3 linked regions of the Drosophila melanogaster genome follow. The protein of the gene in region 2 purifies or fractionates together with the protein of the main gene of each other region. This does not show direct contact. Each region holds a gene or a part of one and is shown on either strand. Other genes may lie near its edges.

Region 1 (6,407 bases), on a different chromosome or scaffold from region 2:
AGTATTACGTCAGGTGTGGCGCTCCTGTGCTGAAGAACTGGTAGAACAAACGCTGTTCGTCCTGGCAAACATGCACCAAAAAGGCGCAGGCGCTTCGGGTGAGAGAGCAGTGATCCCCTTTGTGGGCCACCTTAACGTTTTGTATGGACAGATTCACTGCTGGCGACATAACGCTGGCTCTTTGCGCCAAGTAGTGCTGTTGAAGATCCGCCATTAGTTGGGCGTAGTCGAGGCTGTGTTCCGACCGGGACTCAATCAACTGGGCGACCCGCTTCACTTTTGCCGCGGCCGTTTGATATTTGCCGTAGTACAGAGCGAATGCGGCATCTGGTGCCTTGAGAGCAGCGGAGGCATCCGGCATATTGTTCTTGGGATGGAGCGTGGCCTCGGTTGCCTGGTTTATCACACTCGTCACATAGTTACGCACCAGACCCGAGGCTTTGGCCAGGCACTGCCTGTACTTCACATTGTAGGCGGCCGCATCCTTGAATTTGGGCTGTGACAATGAAGGATATTAGTATATACATGACCGAAGTGTAACAGACAAGCTCACATTCTCCTCGATGTAGTTTAGGCATTCGTCGATCTTGTTGAGGCACTCCCGGAACGCTTCGCTAGCCACCGAAAGCGTGGGGCTCTGAAGTCGTTGGTTGAGCAACTCCACCTGGCTGAAGTAGTGCAGACGGCGTTGAATCTCGTGACTCAGCTCCTGCAGTCGCTCCTGCTCCTCGATCAACTGCTCGCTGGCCGTGTTCAGAGCGCTGGTCTTTTGCGACACAAAGTCGTACTCGTCGCAGAGGGCACCCAGGCGCTCCATGGCCCCAGCGATCTGGTCCAGCATGTGGGAGCACTCCGCTTTGCGCTGCTCCAGCTGCTGCAGGTATTTGTGGTAGTCGGCATCGCCACGTTGCTCGATCTCGGCGCTGACGTCCGCGAACCAAAGCAGAAACTCATTGGTGTTCTGGAGTCCCTCCGCAGGTAGTCTGATGTCATCGCCGCTTTGCGAAGTTGCAGCTGCCGATGAATCGGTAGGACCCACCTGGGTGGGCGTAGTCGGTGCCGGTGCCTACAAAGAGTCGGGTTGCAATTATACGATTGCCATTCGAGGAGGAGTCGACTCACCGATGGTCCGCTGTCGCGCCACAGATTGGTCAGGACGTCCAGGTGCTCCTCTTGCTGGATACTCAGAGCCGCCAGCGGGTCCGTTTTGGACTCCCATTGCATCAGGCGATTGCGAATCTTGCGCAAATTCTCATTCTCGCTCTGAATTCGTTCGACGTCATCCATTTTTCTGCGGCGGATTTGGAAACAATCAATCAGCTGTTCAGAGATGACCGGTCTGCGCCTTCCAGTGCTGCTCAGCAAGGAGACTTAGCTAGAACTAAAACTCTTGATTGATATAAGTTGCCTTTATTTGAATGGTATCATATGTTAAGTAATCTTTAATTTTAGATTTAATACATTTTAAGCTCTTTTTATGCTCGTCCGTTTCTTACATAAGTTTTATATTAAATATCTGTCTGTTTAGCTTGGCGATTACTTAGCCAAGATTTCACCACTGACGGGACGTTTTCCATCACTGGCAGCATCAATAAAGTTCTGTTCTCTATTGTTTTTATTGCATTTTGATCAGTTTTTCCGCATCATATAGCATACGATGGCGCCGCAGCCAGTGGTTACGGGGCTATCTCCGAAGGAGGGTCCTCCTGGCACCCGCGTTATCATTCGCGGCGAGTTCCTGGGCACCCGAGTGCAAGATCTAATTGGTAGGCGTAGCCTGTCCCAAATAGCTTCTGTTTTCTGATGACTTTCCCTTCCAAAAAAAAAAAATGTAAGGTCTAAAAATCTGCGGTTCAGATTGTCTGCTGTCGGCGGAGTGGAAATCACCCAATAAAATCATCGCACGCACTGGTCCGGCGAAGGGAAAAGGCGATATCATAGTGACCACTTTAAGCGGCGGAGTGGGCACGTCCACGGTTCAGTTTCGTGCATACCACGAGACCATTGGCCCGCTCAAGGAGTCCGCCGTGTGGATCGAGGAGTCGCCCTCGCAGAATTTTGCCTGGGGTCGGCGCACCCTAGCCCAATCCGGACTGACGCAGGAGGATCCACTTGGGCTGTCCATCGAGGGTAACGAGCAGAAGATCCCCGAGGACCTCCGCGATCTCTTTCCCGAAGCCTGCGGGGATCTGTCGCAGGAGCACTTCTCCCCGGCCTGGTTCCTGCTTGAAAATCACCTGGCCACCTCCTTCGAGGATCTCAAGGCGGGCCTGTCCTACTTGAAGCGGAAAGTGGAGAGCCAGAAGGAAGGTCAGTTGTCCTTCCTCAAGTCCAATGCAGGCTCGGTGATTGACCAGCTCGATACGCTGATGAACATCCGAGACAAGCTGCAGGAGGATGTCAAGCTACACGGCAATGAGACCCTAAATATCTTGGAAACATCCATAGAGAGTGAGTGGGGTTTATAGATTAAGATATTTAATTCTAAAATTGTTCGACTTATAGACTCCATTAGCGAATCGCAAAAGATATTCACGGATGTGCTGGTGCGCAAAGAGAAGGCGGATTCCACGCGGTCCGTTCTGTTCGCCCTGTCGCGGCACAAGTTCCTCTTCTGTCTGCCCAATTCGGTGGACAGACGTGCCAAGGCGGGTGAATATGACATTGTGGTTAACGACTACTCGCGCGCCAAGAACCTCTTTGGCAAGACGGAGATTCCCATTTTCCGCAAGGTGCTCGAGGAGGTCGACCACAGGATTCTGTCAATAAGGAAACAACTGCACGAGAAGGTGGTCAAGATGCCACAGAGCGTGGAGCAACAGAAGAAGCTCATCAAGGCGCTGATCAGTCTGGAACTGCAGCAGAGCGGAACTCCCATTGGCGATAAACTGCGCAACATCGATCCCGCCTGGGATGCCATCGAGGCCAGAGCCAAATATCTGGAGTGGACATTTCGCCAGACATTTGATCAGCACACCAGCAAGGATTCGGGTGCCCAGGAAAAGGCAAAGAACAGGGATTCCAGCCAGGCGCCCAATCGGGTTAACTTCTGCGAAGAACTGTGCGACATTGCCGCCTCCCAGCTGCCGGACTTGTGGCGTCTGGGCCAGCTATACTTCACCGGCGAGCTACGCGGACCTCATGATCCCAAGCCAGGGGATTTCAAGCGAATGGTTTTGAACGCCATCGAGAAGTTCTGTGTCTACTTGAGGTTGGCCATTCTCATTGCCACGGATCAGCGCGCCCTGCGTCAGTCCAGCGGCTTGGCTTGGCCCATCGGCTCCGCATCGGCAACACATCAGTTTCTACCCTGGATTCCGCAGTGCCTGCGTTTCACGAGGATAGCCTATGCCACGCTCATCAGCCTGGATCTGCCCTCGGAAGCGCTGGACATCATACAGAAACTGATCGATGAGGTGCGACTTTTCTGCTTCTCAATTATCTTCAAACGGGCCACGGATCGGTGCAAAAAGCTGGGCAGCCAGGAGACCTGGGAACTGGGCGTGGAGGAATATCCAGGTGCCACATTGTTACCCGCCGCCTTGGAAACATTGCTCATCGAAACGCTGGACGAGGTGCAATCTGTGTGCATGCAAAGGGAGACCCGGGAGGGCAATCTCCTCGAGCCGCAGTCGGATGGACAGAGAGAGGTGACACAGCGACTACAAGAATTCCTATCCGCGTTTAGCGCGGTGATCGAGGAGCTGGCCTTCCACTCCCACGACGAGGAGACGCCCACCCACAATGTGTCGCAGCTACTTGGATTCCCCAATGCCCAGCAGCCAGATTCGGTGGCTGGAAGCGGCGGAGCAGCGGCTGTGACCTGGGAGCAGCGCATGCTCTGTTGCCTGGCCAACTATGCGTACTGCAACAAGATCTTCTTCCCGCGCCTTGGTGACATCTTCGTTCGCTACGGTTACCCGCTGCCCACGCTGGCAATCGAAACTGCTCGCTACACGGTTAACCAGCTCTTTACCAATCTTCTGGAGGAGTACGTCGAGCATAAGGGCGATCCGCTGGTCGGCACCATCGAGCCCTCCATGTATCTGGGTCGTTTCCAGTGGGATCACGAGATGGAGATCGGCCAGCTGCGTCCTTACGCTCACGAGTGCTGCGATAATTTGGTTGGTGTCTACTCCGAGATCTACAGCATTTCACCGGCACTGCTGCGACCCATCCTGGAGTCCATTGTGCAAACCATATCCGAAGAGCTGGCCCGTCTGATGAGCTGTGTCCAGCGCTTTAGCTTCACGGGAGCGATTCAGGCCCACGTGGATATCCGTCTATTGAGGGACTCCCTGGAAGGTTACGTCAATGAGACTGCCAAGTGAGTGATCTAAATGAAATACCTATGAATTTCAATAATTCTTCTAATCTGCAAAAGGAACTACTTCATGGAAGCGCTGGAGGCCATCAATCCGCCCCTGAGTGGCGAGCAGAAGCGTAAGGCGGACGAGATTCTGGAGCGGGTCAAGCGGAACATGCGTCTGCAGCTGCTCTGCTTCAGTGTCAAGGACCCCTAGGCACATTCCACTGCAGGGCGCAGCCCATGTAGATAGCGTATACTTTAAGTAGCTTGTGATTACCCATGTTCTAGGGATAAATCTTTATTCGATTGCATAACTCTCTTACTTACTACCACGACTCACAAGCCCAACAGCTTTGGGTCAAAGTTGAAGTTGTTCTGAGCCATGGTCTTGATGACCTGCTCCACATCGATGGTGTTGAACTTCTCCTGCACACGCTGCTTGATGGGGTTCTCGATGGCGTCCATGATCTGGTAGCGCAGCAGGTTGGGAATGACGTTCACCGCAAACTCCATGACGTAGTCCAGCGTTCCCGCTCCGTCACATCGCACCTGTATGTTGCCCATGTCAAACTGCAGATCGGTGATCTGCGCCCGCTTGCGTGTGTCCAGGGATTGGCTCAGGCCAACGGTGGCGCGTATGTGCTGAACCGTAAATTGTACGTGACCGACGCGTGTCATCATGCCCACACCCACCTCCCACTGGCCGGCTCCCGTCACCTGCTGGGTGCCTATTTGCAGAACGACCGACACCGTTTTGTTGGCCATGCCAGCGGTTATGTTGCCCACGCGGTAGAAGCTAGAGATTCCATTGATCCAGGTGTGTGCTAACTGGACACTGAACACGCCCATGGTGCGATTGACATCAGGCAGGTGGTACGGATCGAAGCCCTTCTGCCGAACCATCTTGCGTGCCATGGCAATGGCGCTGTCCAGCGGCGTTATGGAATTGGGCAGTCGGCGTTCGCCCAAGGTTTTCTGGATCATTACGTTGATCTCGCTGCGCAGCTTTTTGTCCGCCTCCTGGAGCATAAATGGCTTCATGGCGTCGAAGACCAAGTTGGGCGCACCGTTCACCACGCTCTGAAAGACACTGCCCACCAGGCCGAGGTTCTGGAAGTCCATTGTCATGTCCGAGAATGTGATGTCGATCTTGATGCGGTCCGTGGCCAGCTGACCGTCTCGTTCGACGGCCAAGAAGGCGGTTGCCTCGGCATAGACATTCTTCAGGACTACTGTAAAGGGTCCATTGGCTTTCGAAAAGAATGAACTGAGGGTGTACTGGCCCTTGACCAGCATCTGGTCCAGCTGGAGGCCACCGTTGAACTGCAGGACAGAGGAGTGGAAACTTCAAGCCAATTCGAATTCAACTTGAAAACTTACTCTCATTTCCTTCAGGTCTAGGTTCATTTTATCAATGCGGAACTTGGACAAGCCATACGCCTTGACCTGCTTCATGTCCAGATTGGCCATGCCCATGCTCTTCTTCACATTGGGCACCTCCAACGGATCGGGCACGGGCACGCCGGGCAGACCCTGCGGATCCTCCTGCTGAAAGTGCACGAGCATGGCCTCCACCTGGGCGGCTATGCTGGCCTGACTCTCTTTGATCTTAAGTGCGTCATCCGACTCGCTGGCTTCCTGCTCCACAGCTGCTCAAAGGTCATTAATGAGTGGCTTAGTTCCGGTAGAGCTCAGACTGGAATTCGTCTTACCATCGCCAGGCTCCTGGGAGTGAACAATGTGGCAGCCACTTGCCATCAGGCCCACGAGCACGACCACTATCAACGGCTTCATCTTTCGGGGATTAGCTGGAGCTTCTGCTTATCAGTTGGAAAATGGAAGAAAACGCGCCAGCCTCCGTTCTCTACTCGGAACAAACACGCACTGTCGACTGGCGCGTTAATCAAAAGATAATGATGAGCCGCAGGCGGCGATCCGCTTATCTAAGGGCGACTCTGCTCGCGGAGCTGCTGATTAAACTCGGAATTGAGATTGAGTGACTTAAGTGAGCGGAAGCGGCCAGCACATTGTAGGCACTCATGGAACTCACTCCACTCCCAGGAACGATGTTCTAGAAATCATGAACTAGCAGCTTGCA
Region 2 (7,151 bases):
TCCTGCATCTCATTAAGGTCCTAAAAAGAATAGTCTTTTTGTATGCGTTTCGTATCCGATTAGTTTTCCATGTCGAACATGCATTAAAATGTAAATGTCTTCCGTTAACCGGCATCCACTGTACTACAGGCTGCCGAAAAAGTGGAAGAACATGAGCACGGGAGCGCACGAAAAGCACAAAAAGCGGGCAACGTGTGTGCATGAGAAATGCAAGGCGGAGGGCAAGACAGGCTAAGGTAAGCTAAGGAATGGAACGGCTGGAGGAGATGGGAATGGGAATGTAGACGGGGATGGGGATGGGGGTCACGGGAAGGTAGGGAGAACCGAGTCAGGAGCGACAACCGCACAACAGCACGAAACTGGTCGGACGGGTCGCTATGGTGGCCATGTTTATGGGACAGCCCAGACAGGAGGGAGGATCAGTTCGGATCGGATCGGTTCGGCGGTAGTCTAACTTTTTGTTCTCCCTGTCGGAGCTTCATAAAATATGCACCACATTCAGTCGCAAGTCGTTGCGGCTTCTTCCATTTTCCGTTTGCCATTTGCCATTTGCAATTACCATTTGCATTTCACGGAGTTATCAACACGGCACATGAGCACACACGGAAACACGTACGGCTAGAACAATTTAAAATACACGAAATAAAATGCTTATACTGCAGTTGGGTAAATCACGCGGACAGGCGACAACCGATGCGAAAGAGTCGCGCGGCTTGACTGGGAGCACCAGCCCGAACTCCAACGGCTGGCGAACGAAAAGCCACCCCGGAAAGCTCACTCTTCGAGCACTCTCTCTCTCTCTCTCTCTCTTTAGGCTATGATCTATCTCTTTTGATCTTGAAGAGCTCTCTTTGACCTTAGGAGGCTGTTTGAATGTGCACGGTAGTAAATTAGAGTTATACTATAAAAGTATAAATACAAAAAGTCAAACTTCTATCTGTGATTTTTAAAAGCTGACGTACTAAAGATCAAGTAAGATCTCTAGAAATTCTACATTTTTATATATAAAATTTAGTTTACTCGCATTCTTGGACAAAAGTTGAGTATTGGCTATGTAATTTTAGCTTAGAACTTATACAATAATCAACTTCAATGGCTAGCTGTTGAAAAGTTCCCTTTAAGGCCTAGTCTCGTTGATTTTTCACTACGCGATCCCTCTCTCTTGGACGTTTCGAACATTCGCAGATCCACATCTGTTTAAATATACGCGCCATATATTTTGCAATCAGCAGAAACAGCGCTTTAAATACTATTGCACTTAAAAATAAAACCCGGTTGAACCGCTCCCTGACTTTCAGATTCCAATCCCTAGATCAGTGGGAGCGCGCTATGTCCGAGAAGAAGGCGAGTATGTCCTGAATGTTGAACTCCAGGTTGATCATGGCGCCGGCGTAGCACTTTTGGATGCGCTCCTCCAGGTAATTATACTGGGCAATGAACTCCTCCTGCATGGCATGCCATACCACTTGCAGCAGATTCTCCTCCTCGCTCAGGTGCTTTTCCACCTTCTTATATAGGTTCTCCAGTCCTTTCTTCACCTCTCGTGCAGGATACTGAGCGATCACCTTGCGGAGTTCCTGCTTGGAGAATGCCATCTGGTAGCTGATTTCCGTTTCCTTGACTCCCTGGGCCACCTTAAGTTGCACGCCTTCGAAGAATTGCTGCAAAGGCAGAACGGAAATTTATGAGATGAAGATCGACTTATCTTTTCTTCTGGAAGGTCATTGACTTTGGCTTACATTCAGTTTCTCCAGCGGCCGGCCGAAGTACTGAGTCACATACGCTTTTAGCGCATCGTTATAACACTTCTTGGCCTCCTTTTTCAGGGCGTCCAGACCAGGAACCTTGAGCTGGGCTAACAAAGCGTACATGTGGTGGTAGTTCTCCATGCGCACTACCTGAACTGGTGTCTTGGGGTGCTCCTGCGAATGCAGTTGGATGCCCTCAAATATGGCATTCACCAGCTGCAAGTACCACTTCTCCATGTCCGTTCGGCGATCCGATTTCCGAAATATGCCCTCTGCAGTTTGGGCAAAGTTTTCAAAGTTTTCCACATACGGCAGAATGGCCTTAGAACGTTTGTGCAGCTTTGCCTCCCGGATAGACAGTAGTTGGTTCTGCATAAAGCGGTCGAAGCTCCGCTTCACCTGCACCAAGGCGGAAGCGAAGGTCATGCTAAGAAAGGAATGTGTGTCCTGGGCGGACATGACGTGCTGCGTAAGTCGCACAAAAACGTACAGAGAGTAGCTACGAAAACAAATTTGTTAATTACTCCTTACTCCATTACTATATTGTTTACTTACAAGCTGTCTACACGCTCAAAGCTCTGGATGAAGCTAACTAGCTCTGGTTCTAGGCAACCGAAAAGGCCCATCATCAGTTTACGCACATCTTCGTTAATTTGACGGTCAATCCGCTTCTGCGGAACACCATCACCTGATGGCGAAACCGCTCCTGATATGATTGACTGTGTCATATCCACCGCCTTTTCCATCTCCAACGTAGTCTGTGTGTTCTTTGTCGTTGGACTAATAACGTCCATCTGAAAAAAGTTGATGCAGAAAAGCTGTTCCTGCAGGGCGATGGGTTCCAGCTCAGCTAGAACCTTTTCCAACAATGCATCAAAACGCATTCGATCCGCTGTCTCTACACCGGGACCCCACTGATCCCTGTTGATTCCCAGTGTGCCATAAGGTATTGTGGAAACTGCGGACTTTCTTGAAGACGTAGACATGTCCAGATCCTCCCGAGAATTACGAAGCTTTTCCGTCACCTGAATTTTAGCCTATAAAATAATCAGAAGTGATCGAGATTAGCTTAGATTACAAACTATTACATTTCCATGTTCATGTCTTACCAAATTGAAGAAGTTCCTCACATCCCTGTCATAGATCTTGCTCAGCGATGCTGTGTACACACGCATTAGACCATCGTAGGTCTTCCGATCCATGGCTTTTGTCCAGTGCATCAGCTCAGTATAAGGCGTCAGTTCCCGATGGACGTTGGAATGGTTAGGCAGCGTAAGTTCAGTGCTAGTCACCTGCATGTCTCCTATTTCATTGCCCAGGTGGATGAAGAGGTTGTTCATAAACCGACTGACCGTGGCAGAGAATTTTTGTTTCCACTTTTCAAAGCGCTTGCGTTGGTCCTGCACCGCCTCCAAACGCAGCAGAGCAGGATCTATATCGCTGTTCATTGCCTGTTGCAGGCACTGAGCAGCTGCAATGGCTGCTTTGCGTCCATTGGCGGTCTTTAAATCGGGTTCATCCAGAGCCTGCTGCTGGCTGTGCGGCAGATCCAGTTGACTCTGCAGAAGTAGCAGAATTATTAAACAGTATAAAATTGAGTACACTAAGAATACGCACTATGACTTTGTTGAGCTCCTTCATAAGCTTGATATTGTTATTGTTGGCAATTTCGATCATGGCATTTTTGCCTCCAATTTTCTCCATGGTTTCCTTGACATGCCCCAGAATGTCCTCGTAGCTATCAAGACGGTTTTCAAACTTATCCGCCTCGGAGATAGCATTGTCGATGTGTTCCATCATTTTCAGAACCTTCTGTTCCGAGGCAAGTACACTTTGCATATTGGCCTGCGAGATAAGAAATTATGAGTAATGTATACACGGTGGACAAGCCCAATTTACTAACCCCATCCAAATCGTGGAGCTCACGCGACAGCTGCTCTATGAACTGCTCAGCATCTTTAATGGCGAAGTCGCACTCGGAGAAAAGTTTGCCCAGCTCATTGGCCTCTTTGTCCGTCAGAGCGGTAAACTCCTGGGCCTCCTCCTCTTCGTCCTCCTCGTCGTCCATGTGTTGCGTCTTCTGAACCGCTCTGCCCAATGCCACCTTTTCCGGCGACTTCTCCGACAACCACGCTGCGGGCACATTCCGGAATTCCGCCCGCTGGCCACGCACGCTTTTTTGGATTTGGCGATTGAGCACGGCCAGAAAGTTTTGGCGCTCGTGAGGGTTAAGGGCGTACCATTTGTACAGCTTTTCCAACTGCAGATCGAACTCGTGCGTCTCGAACTGCTCGTTCCGGCCGTCAACCCACTTAATCTCGTCCAGCTGCCAGCTCCGCTTGCGCTTGTATTCGCCCTCGCGCTGCTCCGACTGTTTGATCAGGCACAAAGTGACCACGGGTACCGGTGGCGCCGTGGTGACAACGCAAAGGTAGCACGGCTTCTTGTCCTTCTTCTTGACCACCGTCACCACAGAAAGGAGGCGTTCTCCGGAGGCCAAGAAGAGTTCCTTCTGCAGCGTGTGCTTGATGTTGGCCATAGCGCCAATGGACAGCATGGCTGGGTATATCTTCGGGATGCACTGGTCTCGAATAAAGTCCTTTCAAGAATCAACAACTGGCCAGTTGTTTGCACTTGCAATTAGCAATTGGAGAACGCCTCCGCACCAACAGCTGATTTAACAGAGCTTCTGCAGAGGCGTTTACAGACTATCGGTTGGGGATGAGCGCATTGCGTGAGTGTTCTTTACGTGGTTAAAAGTCACATAGCAAAAATATGCTAAGACTACAGAAACCAATTAAAATGTATTAAATCATATTGTTATTTAAACATTTCAGTATAATAGATACATTGAAGGTTTCATCGCATCGTAGGTAATAACAAGTATGCAGCTCGTGATCTCATCCCAACTGTAGGGTAGATATTATTCTATAACAACACAACGGTCACACTGTTCAACACAAGGTAATCTTCGGGTGAGTTATAATGCGAAAAAGTATTGGCAGTGAAAATAAACCCATATTTACCCATTTCCAGCTACTTTCGAGCAATCATGTTGGTTAAGCACATTGTCAAGCAGGGGCTTCTGCTCAAGAACGGTGAGTTGGAGTGGCCCAACACCTCTTTTCAGCAAAACTGCTAACCTTAAAAATTACATAATGTGGATAAGCAAAGGGAGAAACTTCAAGGAACTGCGAAGGAATGGTTCACCCACCAATCTTCAGCATAGCCATGGATATTATCAGAATTAGCCAAACAGATATCGGAAGAAACTTGGATGAGATCATTAACCAAGTTGCATTTCGTTGGGATTACCCCCTTTTTAAAACCAATCACTTGAATATTCTTTCTTGTTCTCTCATTTCAGCTGGCGCTTTGTCGCGTGCCGCTTACCACGGTGGACATGGTCCCCACTCCACCATGAACGATCTGCCCGTGCCCGCTGGAGACTGGAAGGAGCAGCACAGCCAGAAGAACGCCAAGTACAATGCCGCGCTCATCACTGGCATTCTCGTCCTGGCCGGCACTATTGGATTCGTAAGTGGCTGCCATATTCCTTCCATCCCATATCGGTCTTATTGAAATACGCTTTGCAGGTGAAATCTTCTGGTATCATCCACTTCAACTACTACGCGCCCAAGAGCCTGGACTAAGCCAGCGTTCCCTTACGTGTAAATTAATCCAACATTTGTGTTAAATAAGCTTAAAGTGGCGACATAGTAAATCACAGATCCGAAAGTAATCAGTTCGATGGTTTTATTTGTCTCAGTAAACGGGACCATCGTCCAAGTTGTCGTCCTCATCATTGAAGGCTTCTCCATTATCAAAGTACGTTGCACCGTAGTCGTTGTCCTCGTCCATCTCATCATCCAACGCCGCCTCCGGATCTTCCTCCTCCTCCTGTTCGGAATCGGACTCTTGTTTGTTCTCGTCCTGCTCACCGCCACCTGATTTCAGTTCTTTCTGCTCCAGAACCTTCAGTCTGTCCTCGATGTTTGTCTTCTTGGTCAGCAGATTCGGCCTTGCATCTGCTCCACGACGTTTTCGACTGGAGATGTTTAGCTCTTGGGGCATGGCTTTGTAGTTAAAATCGGGTTGTGCTGTGAGCTTCATGCGCTCCATGGCTTTCTGGGGGTGTAAAAGCAGGATTATAAGCAGCTAATTTAAAATAGCCAGTATTATTACTTCTCGCCAGTCCTTGTGATCAAGGTTTTTTGCGTCCCGACTGGCGGAGATCATGTAATAGGGGGAATCTCGCATTCGGTTCAGAAAGTCCTCCTTCCACAGGAGCTGATAGTTCTGTGTGGCTGTTGTCTATCGAAGTAAAACAGGTAAAAAGTTGATCGATGTTTTTTAAACTAATGTAAATGGATTTGTACCCACTTCTAGGGTAGTGGGTCTGTTCAAAACAGGCGGAAATGTAGGTGGCGGCGCCGTCTGCACCGGCATATCCTTTGTGCATCCCAACATGGCCATTTGCTCCGCCGTGAGGGTGCCTGTCTTGCCGCCCCTTCCGCGGCCTGCCATTATAAATGCTTAATTTATTGTATTCTGTTTAGAAACACTTATTTCCGATTGTATTGTTCAGCTTGCACGTTTATTAAACTCTGAAAACGATCAGCTGTTGCCGCAGCTAACGGTGTTGCCACATAGTCAAAGCCAAACAATAACATTATTGAAGAATGTTCGCTTTTTAATACCCTTATTTTTATTTAGGTCGCAGTTCCAACTACTCAGTTTCAGTAATTACACTTTAATTTTACACATAACATATACATATTTTATTTGCAATTTGCACTTCATCACTTAGGCTATGAACATTAATTACATGCTAATATTAGAGCGCATTCGACATATTTCAGGCGTGTTTTATGTTTACAATTCCAATACAATATAGCCGATGGAAAATTAGTACATAATTTTCCAATTTAAAAAATATAATATTTCAGGGAGCAACAAATTGATACTTTTGGTCAAGTTAAGCAAACACCGCTGAAAATTCGAATTAAAGATGATTTGAAGTTGAATTTACACGTGTTACGTGTTTAGGGGCTTTGTTGAGTTAAATCAATCGGTTGGCAATCATCGGTTGGCGACAGACCCACTTTCTGCATCAATTCAGTAAGCTTTTGCGCTTTACGGTCCTCGTTGTGGGCAATTACTGTGCATAGATGCTCTGTGAGCAGCTCCTTCTTTTCGGATGCATTGTGCAGCTCTATCTTGGCCCGCAAGAACTGAGCCTCGATTTTGACGTATTGTTTTCTGTGTAACATAAATATTAATAAGGGAAACACACAAGTATTTGGCTTCGCCACTTACTCTACATTGGCAAAATGTATGCAGGCATTGTCGATCTGCTTCCTCAGCAGAGCTACGTCCACGGCCAGATCACTTTCCAGCTTG
Region 3 (5,765 bases), on a different chromosome or scaffold from region 2:
TACTTGGTCAGGGAGTAGCAGACCAGATCAGCGCCCAGCTCCAAGGGTCGCTGGAAGTAGGAGGTCAGGAAGGTGTTGTCGACGGCCAGGACGATATCCTCGCGTACTCCATGGACCAGCTGCGCAATAGCCTCGATGTCGGCTACCTTTACCAATGGATTAGTTGGTGACTCGATCCACACCAACTTGGTCTCCGGCTTGATGGAACTTTTAATTAGATCCAACTTCGTGGGATCCACAAAGGTGGCTGAGATTCCCAGACGGGTGGCAACCTGTCGGATCAAACGGTTGGTGCCTCCGTAAACATCGTCGCCCATGATGATGTGATCGCCGCTGCTCAGCATAGTTAGCACAGCGGTGGTGGCTCCCAATCCCGATGAGAACGTGAGGCCGTATTTGGCATTATCCAAGGCGGCGAAGCACGTCTCCAGCACGTTCCTAGTGGGATTTCCACTGCGGGAGTACTCATAGCCCCTGTGCTCGCCCGGTGCATCTTGCTTGAAGGTGGTGCTCAGCGATATCGGCGGAATCACGGCAGCACTCTTCCACTGGTCGGGGCTCTGGCCCGAGTGGATGGACTTGGTGGCGAAGCCGCTCGGCTGGACTCTGTAGCTCATCTTGTCTGGGTAGGAGGATCGTTGGGAACTGACTGACACGTGGAGAGAGACCGTCGCGAATATATATACTCCTGCCAGATGTTATCGCCTAGCCGGTAATTAAATATTTCGACCGTTACAACACTACATTCGCCGACAGTGATGGAGCTCTAGCTATTAAACGGCTAGAAAACGGAACCCTTCAAAAGTAACGATACATATATGCATTGAAACGATGGATATTCTTACTTTCCTTAGAACTTCTTCGATTATTTATACAATAATTTATTTGTTGATAAAGCACAATAATATTACAATCGCAGCTTAAGAGTAAATACGATACTGAACAGAAAGGGACATGCGGAATGGGTTGGGAACTATACTCCAAGGTCTACCACAGTTTGTCGCTGAACACGATCTCCTTGAAGATGCAATCCTGCTTGGCGATGCTGACCATTGCCTTCTTCGACTTCATGGCATCCTGCACCTTCTCGCGCACCTCGGCCGCCTTCACATCGTTGCGAATGTAAAAGAGCCGTACCAGGTGGTCCTCGTTCAGAGACGGATAGCTGCCCAGCAAGGTGTGCAGGTCCAAGACGAGCAGTTCGATATCCGAGCTAAGCAGTGCCGATAGCGTGGATATAAGATCCAATGGAGAGTCGCTGAGGGAAATCTTCGGCGCGATTTTCTCAAAGAAGAGCTTAAACCGCTTGGCTTCGGTCTTGATTTTTCGCGTAATGGCATCGCACTCGGCCCGTGGCTTAGACAGTCGCTTGGATAGCAGTGCCCTAATGTAGCGCTTGGCCAGCAGCTTCTGGGCCTCGTTGATGACCATCTCGAAGTTATTGGGTCGCAGGTGATTATAGTCCTGGAAGTAATCGTCCAGCGTTACACAAATGGTGTCCACGGCAATGTTACTGGCCAGCCACTTGGCAGTGAATAGGTCGTTAAAGTGACACTCCATGTCCAGGAAGGCTTCCTCCAGCAAGTAACTTGCGGCATGAGCCCGGATCCGCTGGAATGTGGCAAGCAAACGTTCGAAATCCTCATAATGCTCAGTACGTGACTTGGGCCAGTAGAGTTGTTTCATCTGCTGCGCCAGTTCAACCATTTGCTGACTGTTATTCACGATGGTGATGATGTAGTGAGTGAAGTATTTGATCTGGTCCCGATTGCGAAAATGGTGTTCCTTCAGCTCGATTACGTTCTTAAGATATGTCTGGCCAAAGATCTCCACCTGCTGAATGCTCATTACCAACGCCTTGAACGTCAGTTCCTGATGAATTGTGTTGGTCACCTGCAGATGCTGGTCGATCATCTGGAATATGATGACAGGCGCTGAAGTGTGGTAGTACTCCTCATCCTGATCGGGCACCGTCTCAGTAAACCACTCCTGCTTCTCCGTTTCTGCGGCCTTGGTCATCCATTCCTGGAAGTTTCTCTGCATATTTTGCAGATATTCATCTTCCAGCGCTTTGAGATGTTCCGGACGCAGCAGAGTACCTATCTGTCGGTGTACATCCACATTAAGATCCGGATGGGACATCAGCTCGACGCCAGGATAGGTGTGTGTAACCCAAGCCATCATTGATACATATTCATTGCCCTCCAAGCCCGAGCGCACAATGTTGTCAAGCTGGAATTAGTAAATATTAGTGGTATAAAAACATTAATCAATTTAAATGATTGACGATTACTCACATAGCTAGAAAGTCCTTCGTGATAGAACTTGACATATTCGCCGAAAATGTCGTAGTGCGGCGGGAAGCAGGGCACACAAAGGGACTTCACAACGCGCAGATCCTCGAGAATGATTTGACGCAATATCTCCAGGTCTCGTACTAACCACATCTTGTTATCGGCCCGCTCCTCTAGCTTGGATCCCTCTATGCGCGTTATCACCGACTGTTGTAGCACGTCCATGATCATGCGGCGCCAAGCCTTTGGTCTTCCAGGCGGCAGGAATCCTGTGACCTTTTGCTGCTGCAACGCGAACTGGTCGTTTTTCTCTTCCCGCTCTATGATGCGTAGGGCGGTAACGATGATGGTGGGCTTCTTGCGCAGAGTGTTCAGCGTGCGGCTAAGAATGAGTCGCAGCTTTTTCTCCAGCTCTTGGGATACCGTGTCAACCTTCTCGAAGTGACGCTTTAGGGTGATCTTGTCGGACGCATGCTGCTTGGGCTGCTTGTGCAGTTCGTAGAGAAGATCATCCCGCGAATTCTCCAGATCCGCCAGGCACTGATGGGCATTAAGCAGCTTATCATCCTCGATCAGCGCCATCGTCTTTTGTACGCTGGCATCTACGTTGAAGATGTGCTTCAGATTCTCCATGGCGGTGGCGTACTGGGAGTGCTTTGTGTTTTCCTCCCGCACAACTTCCAAAGCGTCGTAGACTTCGGGAACGCCCCTCAGCAGGCGCTCCACCTCGTCCATTCGACGCCTTACCTCGCGCACGTCCTGCATGCAGGTCTCCAACTGCTTAAGTCCCACCCTGACCCCGTCCAGCTGTCCTTGCATTCCGGTCTTAAGGAGCGCCTCAACGGATGCCTTCTTCCGGGCGATTCGGTGGCGATATTGTTCCACCTTCTCCAGTTGACCTGGTCGCTGCAACATGTTCTGTATGTCCTTGAGCGCTGCCTGGCGAGCCTGCTCCTCCAGCTGCTGTAAATCCATCTTCAATTTATTTGGATCACTTTCAGTCTCTGTTTTGGTCAATCTTCGTCAGCAGTGGAAGTGCTGGTGTGACCATATAGCAGTGCGGCTGACAATCTCACTTCCAAGAACTACAGTGTAACTTGACAATAAGCTATATTCTACTCTTAAAATTATTATAGTTTTATTGTGTCTTAAAATTTTTATTTTATTCTTCAAGCTTAAAAAATTATGAAGTTAAAGTATATCTTTTAGTTTGCCAAAGCAACAGAGGATTCGACCTAAGTATGGAAAACTGTACTTATCGATAAGTTATCTTCTCATTGGTCTATCGCCATCGAGAGCTTTGTTTGTTTATAATTTGCAGCCAAACGTTTGAACGTAAACAACGCCCTAAGCAAAACATGAGCACGGAAAAAGAGATAATTTTGCAATTTGCTCCGTGGGAATCTTTTGTGTCGCCCACTTTCTGGCACAAGCTAGCGGAGCTTAAGCTCGACCACGATCGCCTGTCCGACTCGAAACGCTCCATTACTGGACACTACACAAATCGTAATGCAAGTGGATGCCTTTTGGAAGTAGACTACACGGCCTACAACAGGTGAGCTTGAAAACTACGAGTTTGATGAAACCAGCGCTTGACCACCCACATTCCAGAATGGCAAAGCCTCCAAAATTCAGCCATTCCGCTATAGGCACCATCTACAATAAGAACACAATCGAAGAGTTCAAGGCCCTGGACAAATTACAACTGCTGGCCGATGAGGGCAAGGAACTGCTGGCTGATATGTGCAGTGGTGGCGCCTTGAGAGATCCCAGTCTATTGACCCGGTTCTTTGTTCTCTCCTTTGCCGATTTAAAGTGTCACAGCTACTACTATTGGTTCGCCTTTCCGTGCCCGCTGACGCCCACCTTAAAGCTTCAGGGAGCCGTCCAAAAACTGCGGGACTTGCCCAATAGTAGTAGCTATATAATGGCTCTAAAGGCCTTACCCACTGAGTCACAGAACTTCTTCATTCTGTATGCTAATGTGGAGAAGAACATTTTCGAAGCCCGTAGTTTAAGTTCCCTTGACGATAAAAATGTTGAGTTCTGTTATTTTGGTTTTGCTGATCCCAGCGAGTATGAGCATCCAGCTTGGATAATGCGAAACTATGCTGCCTTTCTGCTTCAGCAATGGTAGGTAGGAATAGCAATGTTATGATATCAGTTCACACAGTTGTCGGTCTATTACAGTCCCTCTTTTGTTGGAAAACCATTGAAGTTTCTTGGCCTGCGACACAATCAACAAATGAACATCGATGACAGCCTTGTATGGAAGGTGATTCAGACTGAAGCTTGCGATCTTAGCCAAAGCGAAAATATAAAGTTCGTGGGCTGGGAGCTAAATAAAAATGGCAAAATGGGGCCAAGAATGGTGTGCATGAGGGACAGCATGGATCCAGCCAAGTAAGTTAATAGCTATAGACTTAAATGATAAGAACTATCAGTTCATTGAGGTGTGTCCTTAGTGTTAGCTACCACGACAGTTGAAAGTAACTTGTTTATTATTTATAATTTAACAATATTTCTTTCCGTAGACTCGCTGAGAACTCTGTAAACCTGAACCTGAAACTAATGAAGTGGCGCCTTGTTCCCGATCTCAATCTCGAAATCATCTCCCAAACAAAATGCCTGCTCTTTGGAGCTGGTACTTTAGGATGCGCTGTAGCTAGAAATCTGCTGGTGTGCTTTTATACGAAATGATTTAACTGATCTGATAACTAATAGTTTATTTATTTTGTAGTCCTGGGGATTTAAGCACATAACCCTTTTGGACAGCGGCAAGGTTGGGTTCTCTAATCCAGTGCGTCAGAATCTCTACACGCATGCAGATGCTGTGGCAGGCAATCGGATGAAGGCGACTACAGCTGCTCAGAGATTGAAAGAGATCAATCCGTCTGCGGAAACGGCGGGTTATGTGCTGGAGATTCCCATGCCTGGGCATACTATTGGAGAATCGCTTCTAGCCCAGACGAAGGAGCATTTGAAGGTTATCGAAAAGCTTGTGCAGGACCATGATGTCATCTTTCTGCTCACAGATTCGCGCGAAAGCCGCTGGCTGCCCACCCTGCTTGGAGCGGCAAAGGAAAAAGTGGGAACAATCATATACTCACCTTTCAGAAGAGATGTACCTAAAATGTTTCCCTTATAGATTGTCATCAACGCAGCTTTAGGCTTTGACAGTTATCTGGTAATGCGACATGGCACTACGCGTAAGGAAGCAGGCGACGATGGCCAAGAAATCGAAGGACTTAAGTGCATTAATGGCGATCAATTAGGTTGCTACTTTTGTAACGATGTTACGGCCCCTGGAAATGTAAGTCCCATTTGTTGTATAGTTTAAGATAACATTTGTATTTTCAGACTTCATTAGTTGGGTTAACATGGTTACTAAACGCATTCGTAATCATGGCGGGAATATTTTTCGAAGCCAGCGCACGTAGGATCCCCCGTCTGCAGGTGATCCACACCAGT

The links.
Region 1: the proteins of Sec3 (region 2) and Sec5 purify together in Drosophila melanogaster (affinity purification with western blotting; one study listed by BioGRID). This does not show direct contact.
Region 3: the proteins of Sec3 (region 2) and Sec6 fractionate together in Drosophila melanogaster (co-fractionation; one study listed by BioGRID). This does not show direct contact.

The regions. Positions count from the first base shown.
Region 1 is NT_033779.5:3,455,749-3,462,155, forward strand, and holds Sec5 (secretory 5), read left to right. Parts: upstream 1-1,553; 5' UTR 1,554-1,657; coding exon 1,658-1,766; intron 1,767-1,836; coding exon 1,837-2,451; intron 2,452-2,505; coding exon 2,506-4,327; intron 4,328-4,384; coding exon 4,385-4,523; 3' UTR 4,524-4,619; downstream 4,620-6,407. Other genes in the region: Cog3 (component of oligomeric golgi complex 3), read right to left, coding at 9-496, 554-1,066, 1,123-1,287; CG3246 (uncharacterized protein), read right to left, coding at 4,646-5,632, 5,690-5,958, 6,022-6,103. UniProt on the Drosophila melanogaster protein: Component of the exocyst complex involved in the docking of exocytic vesicles with fusion sites on the plasma membrane.
Region 2 is NT_037436.4:17,420,795-17,427,945, forward strand, and holds Sec3 (secretory 3), read right to left. Parts: upstream 4,424-7,151; 5' UTR 4,306-4,423; coding exon 3,652-4,305; intron 3,594-3,651; coding exon 3,366-3,593; intron 3,308-3,365; coding exon 2,858-3,307; intron 2,786-2,857; coding exon 2,304-2,785; intron 2,248-2,303; coding exon 1,740-2,247; intron 1,662-1,739; coding exon 1,314-1,661; 3' UTR 993-1,313; downstream 1-992. Other genes in the region: COX7B (cytochrome c oxidase subunit 7B), read left to right, coding at 4,801-4,846, 5,116-5,285, 5,345-5,401; Polr3G (RNA polymerase III subunit G), read right to left, coding at 5,514-5,876, 5,934-6,062, 6,132-6,275; Gorab (Golgin, RAB6 interacting), read right to left, coding at 6,794-7,010, 7,068-7,151. UniProt on the Drosophila melanogaster protein: Component of the exocyst complex involved in the docking of exocytic vesicles with fusion sites on the plasma membrane.
Region 3 is NT_033778.4:18,622,847-18,628,611, reverse strand, and holds Sec6 (secretory 6), read right to left. Parts: upstream 3,364-5,765; 5' UTR 3,270-3,363; coding exon 2,298-3,269; intron 2,233-2,297; coding exon 988-2,232; 3' UTR 894-987; downstream 1-893. Other genes in the region: Cth (cystathionine gamma-lyase), read right to left, coding at 1-617; CG5335 (uncharacterized protein), read right to left, coding at 5,682-5,765; Atg7 (Autophagy-related 7), read left to right, coding at 3,653-3,849, 3,906-4,427, 4,485-4,697, 4,829-4,973, 5,035-5,382, 5,443-5,607. UniProt on the Drosophila melanogaster protein: Component of the exocyst complex involved in the docking of exocytic vesicles with fusion sites on the plasma membrane.